2 linked regions of the Drosophila melanogaster genome follow. The protein of the gene in region 2 interacts with the protein of the main gene of each other region in a biochemical or structural test. Each region holds a gene or a part of one and is shown on either strand. Other genes may lie near its edges. The genes, in order: Bdp1 and Pbp95.

Region 1 (4,765 bases), on a different chromosome or scaffold from region 2:
GCTAGGAGGCGGATGCCCTCGCCCAGATCTTTGGAGCGGTTTTCGTCGAAGCGAGCACGCAGCTGCACAGCGCGGTAGCGGTAGACATTGCTGATGGGCATTAAGAAACAACCAAGATGCACTTGCTCATTATATAATATTTGGGAATTCTGCGCCGAGTGCACTCACCGTCGGTCGTACCACGACTCTAAGTTGCGCAGTGCTCGCTTGTACAGGCTGCACACCTGGCGCTTGTGCGAGACGATTGCCAAGGGAACTTGGGCCATCGTTTTTTACTATATTGGTTAAATTGTATTAATTTGCTACCGCAGCCGAGGCAACAACAACAACAGCTGTCAAAAGTCCAGTGCTCTAAAGCCCTGCGCCTGAAAATATGTGTTGCGAAGCGAAAAATAATTTTAGAGAACGGCAACTCTGAAATGAATGGAAATTCAAAAAATATTTATATATTTGATTTAAATTTTCTATACAAAAGCAATGGCTATCTTTGCATTTTATACAAGCTTTTGTTATTGCAAGAAATCGAAATGATCCTGTCTAGAGTAGATACCTATAACCAAACACTTTTAATGCTTAAAAGCCTTCTTGCTACCCTATTTTATTTATAAAATAAGACTATTTTGACAAATCTGTTATAATTGTATATTAATTACAATTTTTTTTAGGAATAGTTAAAGAAACCAAGAAAGTCAGTCCCATTTTTGCATTTTTTGCAATTCCCTTTGAATTTGCGAGGAACAAGAAAGTAATTTTGTAAATACATCTAGCGAAATGCTTTAATAAATTATAACTGTTAACAAATACTCTTAAGATATAAATATAAAATGTCGTTAGTCCTCTGGCTGCATAACATTCATTATGCATTGAACAATATGCTCTGGTATTTTCAGAGGCGTTTCGCACAACTCGCCCGTTTTTTTGTCCAGCATGTAGATTTCGTTGAGCACACGATCCTCGTGCTCTGGATCCAAGGACGAGACGAGAGCCAGAGATCCTTCCGCAAGCTCGGCGAGAATTTGTTCGATATCCGGTTCGGTAGTGGACGGCGGAATGGGGTCATCCGGCGTTATAAGTTCATGATCTTGGTCTTCAATGAAGTTTATTAAATATGTCTCTGCCTTTCGATTGGGCGTCTCTGGGGCGGGTTCGACGTCGCTGACATAGCTTAGGGTACCATCATCCATATTGATAATAGTTTTATCACGTGGCTTGTTTACATCTACGTCATATTCCACCGGATCATCCATGAGGAGGCCATTGAGCTCAGCCTGCAGTTCTCCCCCCGTTGGCAAATGACTACTCGTTTGTTCGGTTTTGATCGTTTTTTCCTGCTTAATGGCCGCCACATCAGACAGGCTTTCCGTTGCCGCTGGAACTGAAACCTTGGGAGATCGTCGCTTAGCCTTTGGCTTACGTTTGGCCGGCGCACTTCCGTCGTTCTCATCGGTCTCCAACTCCTTTCGCCTTTTGGCCCAGGCGTGCTTGCCGAGCTTTGTACTCGTTACGTGCTCGTTTTCGTAGACAACATCACCATCGTTTAGTGCCCTTGAGGCCTTGCTTTGCTGCTGTACTCGGGAACGCTAAATATAATTAAAAAATGTAATGGTGATTACAGTCAGCTACAAATTATTTACCTTCTTAGGGTTTCCCGGAAGAGCTCGTGCGATTTCCCTCCACTTGCGATCATTTTCTTCCCTTTCGCGGTCCTCCTCTTCCAGTTGATCCTTGAGCTCCTGAATGTTGAAGGCCTTAGGATAGAGGAGTGCTTTGTTTATGAGCTGCCCATTGGTTCGCTCTTCCTTTTTGTACTTCAGCTTTAGATCCCGACGTGAACGTGTTGGAAACATTTGGCACATCAGCGAGAAGTCCGTCCCAATGATCTGCAGGCTGCGGTAGAAGCGGACGGTCTCATCGGAGGTCCAGTATGGCGTGCGCTTGTGGCGTTTATAGAATCCATTATCTCCTGCAAAGTATAAAATTCGTTAAGTATTCAACTTTTATGTATTAACTCTGCGGCGCACCCGTAGTCTCGTCCATTAGGATTAACGATGAGTTGGCTAGCACCTTGCGGGCCTCCACCTCGGCCGTGGTTTCGATCTCCAATGTTTTCTCATCAATGATCATCTCGCCATTGGCATCAAGCTTTAGCTGAGGCACTAACATAGCGGATGTGGACTCTCCCTTGGGTTCCAATAGTTGACTGACTGCGGGCTTGGAATCATCGCCACCAGACTCATCCTTGATGGTCGTCACCGACTGTTTGGGCACCATGGGATTGTTCTCCGGATTGTAGAAGATCATGTCCATCATCTTGAACGTGGACTTGTCGGGTACACCCTTATTGAAACGGGTTTCAAAGTCTCGCCGGGCATTTAACCGCTGTCCAATTTGACTTTGCGACCTATCGTCGCCCTTCCTCTGCTTGCTACCTCCTTCGGAATAGGTGGAACAGGTGGATTCGGTGCGAATGCGTCCCATGCCCGGACTAGCGGGCGGTAGGTATTTATAGGGGGACGGAGGCATAGGCGAGTGCACCTGCTGCTGCAAAGGAGTTCCCGATGAAGAACCGCTAAGATAGCGCTCTCGCCGCGTGGGCGTGGCTGGCGACTGATAGTCGCCCTCATAATCACTGGCCATGGGTGAGCCCACGAAGCTGTTGCGTCGCTGGCCAAATACCGGAGTGGGTCGCACACGCTGACGGGCTTGAGCCTTGCTGGGCGACATAGGGAAGCCATTGGTGGTCTTCTGCAAGTCCATCTGAATGACATTGTCCTCGAGGTCCGAGTGGAATACCTCTTCCAGCTGCCCAGCCGAGCTTGCGGGCATCTTGAAGGCGATTGCATCAGCCTCTAGTTCCAATTCCGCAGCAGGGGTCGATGCAACGGGCGGGGACTCAGCCTCTGCTTCCACCACCACCGCCTCCTCCTCCTCATCCTCCTTTTTCGCCGTTGGGAGCTCCTCCCTGCGTGGCTTGCGTTTGATAAGCGACAGGTTGGCCGGAGCCTTGATGCGCTGGCGCCGCATGGACATCCTGCCTGGGTACTCTTAGGCTTCTTCCAGGCTCAACCGCAGTTTCACACATCAAATCGAATCAAAATCTGCGCAACAAAAACAATGCGGCCGCAACCACGAGTTTCCCAAGTATAGTGTTGGCTAACGCCAAAGAGCATTCACAGTGTCCTGGCCATGTAAGAAAGTAGACAACCAATTTATTTAAAGTTTCAAAATGGCTATAAAAAACTTGCAGTACCCAAAAGATTTTTTAACAAATAAAAAAAAAACGAGATAACTGCGTTATTAGAAAGCATGTCAAGTAAATTTATTCGCAGTGTCAAAAATAAATTGGTATAAATTATGGCACACTTCACCAGATTCACGTCAAAAATTTGTACACAGTAAAAGTTTGGTTGAATTTAATATTATTTGTGTTTCAGTGTTGCAGAAAAGTGTGATCACTGATCGTAGCTGTCACCTCTCAGCAGGCGGTTTGCGATTTTCCAACACTGCTGCCTGTAACGGCACAACAACAGGAACAACAACAGCGGAATAACAACAGAAGCAGCAGACAAATTGCAAGTTGCACGTTTTTTCTAATCGGGCAAACATGATAAGTCCGCCCAGATCCTAACCAAGCTCTCGTGCAGTAACGCTTCCGGCAAACCTATCGGGTGTGTCCTGGCTAGAAGTACTAAATTCCCAAAGTTTTCTGGCGACAAATGTGCCAAGTGTGCGGGGGCACAGTAATAGCGAAGGAGCATTAAGAAGTCGCCGCACTTTTGAGTAGGTTGTTATGCAAGCGGGCGGCCGACGGACAAATTGAATTAGCCGGCATGCTGTTCAATCGATTTGTACTGGCCATCAAGAACCAGTCCCGAGAAACGCTGCGTGCCTGGAGCTACCAATGCGAGTCGATTTTCGCCCAGCGCTCGCGTCGCGTTCAGCAGTTGTTCAGTTTCTACCAGTCGGTGTATGGAACTCAGGGTCTGAAGCAGCTATGGCGCGCCTACTACCGCCGGGAGCTGCAGCCTCCGCTGCGGGGAATGGTGATGAGTGCAGTGGGTCTCGTCGGGCTGAATATCAAGCGAATGGGTAGCGATGGCTTCGATTGGAACAAGGAGCGCCTGGCCTTGTCCAACTTTGATCTGTGCCGCCGGGATATTGAGTTTATCAACGCCCTGCCCAACAATCAGCTGTGCGACCGCTGCCAGGCCAAGAAGATGAAATACTGCTACTGTCAGCTGGGCAACCAGCGCTGCAAAAAGGGCCAATCCCAGCCGTCCACCAGCAAAGAGGCGGAGACGGATCCGGACACCAGCATCAGCAATTGTCTGCGACCGTTGGATCTGGACGTGCGCAATGCACCGGCCGGAACGGTACGCATTCAGGCCCAGGACGACCAAAAATGGGAGCCGTACTTTAGCAAAAACGAATTCAGCATTTGGCGGCGGCAGGAGCGCTCCTCCTTATACTCATACAAGGTAAGAGGCCATCTAAAAGTTTTTTAGGGCTCACTTTTATGCCGCCTTTCCGTTTGCAGGTTTATGCTCGATTCGACGACATCACAGCGGACGACTTCCTCCACGTTCAAACGGATTTGGATTACCGTCGCCAGTGGGACGACACGGCCCTAAGACTTGAGCTCATCAGCGAGGATCCCGTCCCGGGCAGCAACTCGCATCTGATATACTGGGAGATGCAGTGGCCACGACTGTTCGCCAATCGCGACTACGTCTATTGTCGCCGCTACATAAAAGACGACAACAAG
Region 2 (5,184 bases):
CATAGTTCCTAGTTCTTGTTGTCAATTAAAATTACGCTTTAAATGTTGCACGTATGAAGTAAAAGTACGGGATGAAGCGACTTGTCCATCTCTGTGAATTGATGTTCCGTTTAGCAAGCCCTTAAACTTAGGATTATAATATTAATTGTTCCTTGTCCACACTTCACAGATATTCAGATGCTGACTCTGTTGGTCCCTGTGCTCATTGGCTTCCTAGCGGAACCCAGTCGACTCCGGACGCTGCCAAAGTATCAACGGCAGCTGCACGACCAGGCGCTGCAGTGGCTACTGAAGATCGGTCCGAAATATCCGCAGGAGTTTAAGGCCCTGATGGGTCAAACACCGGAACTGCGACAAAAACTAGAAGCGGCCATTCGCAGCCAACAGCAGTCGATTAACATTGCCCAAAAAGCAAGCGAGGCGCAGAGGAACCTGCTGGCCAAGCCGCAGAAGCCTACGATCAAGCTGAAGACGGATTTCAGTAACTTCCAATGAGCGCCTCCCCCGGGAATCGAACAAAATAGTTCTCAAGCTGCTAGTGCTATCATAAAAATGCTTTGTAATACATTGTTACCGCATGAACAATAGGATGGATCGGTTCTTTTTATATTGAAAATAAGGTTTAGACAATTTTGCTCTAATAACTAAATATCCGGGATAAAAGTTTTGAAAGGATTGTAAAACGGCAACTAAAATATACATTAGTTTTTTTGACTGCTTGTGTATTAAATTGTTTCGTTTTGCAGGGCGTTTTGCTATAAATATACCTTTTTTCAAACCTAAGCAATATTTTTAAACTACAATCAGAAAAATGAGCCACCCTAATGCACATCGGTCCGGCATTTGATTTTGCTGTATGTGAAATACGTTAAAAGTACCTACAAGTTTATAAATTATTTGTTAGCCATTGTAATGAACTATTATATAACGCGATATGAAGTAAAAAATATAAACTTTTAAAGCTTAAATTAATCAATATTACATATTTACTTATTAGTTCCTATGGAACTGTATATTCCATTTCCAATTCCTGCTTGACTGTATTAATCACTTCATTCTCGCTAAGCGGCTCGGATTTTAGATCATTCTGTGGTGCCGGCTCTGGATCGATTAATTCAACATGTGTACCCATTTTTGCATAATCGTGTTTGGGGCGTGGTAAAGAAACTAATGCTGATGGTAAGTCCGTAAAGAGTTGTGATTCCAAGCGGCTGAGAAGAGTGGTACGATAGAAAAGAGCTTGCAACCGCTTGCGGAAAAGCTGGATGGGTGGTAAAGATTCATTGTATTCGAAGCTACGTGTTTCCGTATCCTTGCGACAATCTCCGGAAAGAATGCATAAGGCTCGAAACCCCATCATAGTTGACCAGTTGGGTGGCAAAAGTGGGCTCTTCATATCACCTTCCTCGTCCGGAAGGTTTCGGATCATGCTGTTGTAGCACTTAAGCACATCATTTGGCATAAATATGTTTTGTAAGAGCGAGGGTCGAATTGGTGGCTTATATGCAAGAGCTCTGATCACGTAGGCAAGGTTATAAACGTCTTTTGGAACTGGAAAAGTTTTTGGAGTGCTCAGCGTCAGATTATAACTAAACTTAAAGAAGTTGCAGAACTCTATATCAACTTTCGAAAGTCTTGAGAAACTCTCTGCCTGTCGCTCGATCCTAGCCTTTTTCGATTTGGGACCGCGCACCCGAGTTCCTTTCGGGGGGTTATCATTAACTAATGACTCTGGGTCCTCTTGCCACTCTTGCAAACGCTGCGCCCAGTTATCAGAGTTAACCAAGGACACCTTCTTCGATCGGCGGCGTGGCAGGTCTTCCACTTTTGCATTGGGATTTTGTTCAAGGAATTTCTTGATGACTAGGAAGCGGGTTCGACAGCTGGTCCGCGTGTGATTGCCCAAGAACGTGGCACAGTTAAGCCACTGGGAAGCCCCGTATTGCGTTACGAAGCTCATCAGCCGTGTGTCGTCCTGAACGGACCAGGAGTCGGTCTTGTTGCGTTGTGCCAGTACATTGTGGTAGCGAGTTCGGAGTTGGGTTAACGACCGGTTTGGGAAAAGAGAACGCGGAAAACAGTGAAACTTTCCATTGTACTCTTCAACGGCGGCGAACAGCATCATGTCCTCCTTGGTAGTGAAGGGTTCTGCAGTTTCAAAGGAGCGAAATAATAAATTAAAAATTATTCAATATATTGGGTACCTACCGTGACTGATGCTAGGATGCAACACGTAGTAGTAACGACCAATCAGCGTTGATTTGGACTTGTCCGGGAAGTATTCCACGACTTTTTTCCAGTTTATTACACTGTTTGCCGTATTCCTATCAACGATCGCCCTTAGTTTATCGTTGTCCTCTTCGCTCCAGCGGTGGCTGTTCTTTGGCTCCAGCAGAAAACGTAGGGCGGTATGAAAGCGTACGAAGCACTGATAGTCGGAACGTCGGTCTAGCGACGCGGCTATCAACTCCCAGTTCTGCATCCTGTTCGCAGTGGCCACCGCCAGTAAAGTTTCGTCCTCCTCGGGTGACCAATCGTCTCGCCTGAGATCTGGTGTTAAGTAGACCCTCCACATTGCCTCACAGCTATATGGTGAGTGCCGATATTCCAAGTCCAGGGTGCTGATCTGGTTCCAGTCGATGCTGAAGCTACTATCCGCAGTTGCCAGCAGACTTACCAGTGTACTTAAGTGTCGCTCGATTGGCTTGCGCTTCAGGCTTCCGCTGGGCAGCGCATTCGTACTGTGGGCCCTATGCTCCAGTAACTGAGAATTGAGTTTTTTATAAAACAGAATATTAGTATTGCTATTTAACTTTTCATTGCTATTAAATGGGTATTTGGCAATCAATCTGAACCACTCGAAGGGTCCACTCACCTGTTGTTTTATACCCATTATCACATTCTTTTTGTCTAGCAATGTCCATACATGTCTGGAGTGCATGTCAAAGTCGGTGGGAAACATCTCCGTGTGGCACCGCGCCTCGTAATCCTCGTTGTTAGGACAGCTTCGACCATCGATGTCTCGGAAAAACAGGTTGCCCTTGAAGCGAAACGTGCCCTTCCGCAGGATCGCCCCGCTAAGATTGAGGGAATTCGGGCCGAAATGGGAACGAGGTCGCAGCCGGCGCACCAGGATGTCCTCGTTCCGAGAGAAGCGGGCCCTTACTACTTGTAACATGGCCAGAATTTTGGTCCGGACTTGCATGAGCCGGCGCTGGAGCTCCTGATTCAGCTGCAGTGCGTTGGCGGCGCTCGGCTTCGCTGTGTTCTGCAAGAGGGCCGAAATCTCGTCCATAAGCTGCTGCTGGTTTATGCGCAGATCATCGGCATCGTCCATTGCTCAGGTTGTTTTGTTTACATTGCCTTTGACTTTAGCGATGAACTATTCCCGGCATCAACTATCGATAAAATGGTTGCAATGGTCGAACTGCATTAAGCAAATTAATACCCTGCAAATAAAGTAACATTGAACATTACATAGGAAATTGCTGTATTATTGGACTAAGACCTATTAAAGAATAGATAGAGATAAAATAGATATCATAACTGCCATTTTTCGTCCTTATTTATTCCCAGAAACTTTGGTTTTATCTAGTGGAAAGAACATGATTTCAATAAACTCAGTTGTAAAAGCGCGGGATTATTTTAAACAAAAGTTTGGTCAAAAATAGTTTTTTAGAATAAAGATCTTAAAACTATCCGCCATGCACTAAATAATGATACCCTTGGTAACAAAAAATATTTAGTATGTCAAAATGTTTTGTAATTTTAATTTTTTTATGTTGTATAACGTGATCTGTAGAAACTATTAATGTATTCCGATTTTTGTTAAGCCTTTCATACGCCCTCAAATTGGCGAAAATTTGGGTAGATTTAATATCAGCTGTTGTCAAACTCGCAACCAAGCCTGAGTACACCTAATTAGGTGAGCATCTCAAGGAAAAACGATATTCAACACTAGTCGAAATTGGCGAATCAGCAGTGACCGATGACAATACCAATCGCCTATCGCTGCTGCTCGAGAAACAACAAAAGAGAACAGAGAAAAAAAAACGCGTAGTAGCAACTTAATTAACAAAATTCGTGGTGAATGCGCTAGCATAACATGGAAGATGTCCCGGTCAAGATAGTCGAGCGCTACAAACCACCGCCTGCCGTGTACCACCTGCCGCAGGCGACCCTCAATCGCCTGTCGCAATTCCGAGAAGGTTTCTACACGGATCATCCGGATTACCAGTATGACTGTCAGCTGGAGAGGGCCGTGCTGAGTCAGGCGCAACGATGGCGCCACCTGCGTCGCCAGCAGCGCGAGGAGCGAGCCAGTCGCCAGGAGCGTCGCAAGGAGGAACGCCAACGGGCGCTGGAGGCGAGACAGAAGGAGATGCTTGGAGCAGTTGATTATCCTAGTGCGGACGACTTGTCATCGGATGAGGACGAGAAGGAGCGAAAGAAGAACGAGCCCGAGCAGAGGGACGAGGAACAGCAACAGCAGCCACCACCTCCAATCACCGCTGAGTCACGCGACTCTTCCCACGAACCAAAGTCAATAAGTGTGTGTAATTTTCACAATATCTTGCAGCCCACCATTCTGAGCACCACTCCAGTGGTCAGTCCGCAGACGCTGCACAAGCGTAACAGCTCCCTAAACTACGCAGACTTTGAGTACAATATGAACTCCACACCTTTCGACAATATCGAGCTGAAGACCATCAACGATCTAGACATACTAGCTCAGGTTCTGCACCAGACACAGCTGGAGAAGCGCATAGATCAACAGCAGCAGGATCAGCAGCAGCAGGAGCCGCCGCATGAGGATCATTCCAAGGAGGAGCAATCTGGCAATGAAGTGCCAGCTCCGGTGGAGCTAGCAATGACTACGCTGGCGGAGACCAAAGCGACGCTCGACAGCGTCAATTTCCATGTTCACTGTGATGATAATGCGGACAGGGGCGAGCCAAGCCACATTCCAACCACGGCTCAATACCTAACGCCCATGTACAGCGCTTCCGCCCAGCAGCCGTTGCATAAACCGGAACACTTTCAGGTGGGACACTTTTAACTAGTTAAAGAGCCTTAATAATATGTTAACTTGATTCTTTTGAATGTCACACTATCCTTGTATTCTCAAAATCCAATCCTCATTACTCATTAAATTGTAATAAAAGAGGAAATTGTTCATTCACT

The links.
Region 1: the proteins of Pbp95 (region 2) and Bdp1 form a complex in vitro, tested with the Drosophila melanogaster proteins (one study listed by BioGRID).

Annotation. Positions count from the first base shown.
Region 1 is NT_033779.5:13,370,674-13,375,438, forward strand, and holds Bdp1 (B double prime 1), read right to left. Parts: upstream 3,152-4,765; 5' UTR 3,031-3,151; coding exon 2,022-3,030; intron 1,964-2,021; coding exon 1,635-1,963; intron 1,581-1,634; coding exon 831-1,580; 3' UTR 754-830; downstream 1-753. Other genes in the region: ND-B22 (NADH dehydrogenase (ubiquinone) B22 subunit), read right to left, coding at 1-90, 169-266; CG6565 (uncharacterized protein), read left to right, coding at 3,831-4,478, 4,538-4,765.
Region 2 is NT_033777.3:8,011,991-8,017,174, reverse strand, and holds Pbp95 (PSEA-binding protein 95kD), read right to left. Parts: upstream 3,385-5,184; 5' UTR 3,338-3,384; coding exon 2,876-3,337; intron 2,765-2,875; coding exon 2,209-2,764; intron 2,149-2,208; coding exon 1,001-2,148; 3' UTR 565-1,000; downstream 1-564. Other genes in the region: CG2747 (uncharacterized protein), read left to right, coding at 170-495; CG10435 (uncharacterized protein), read left to right, coding at 4,106-5,044.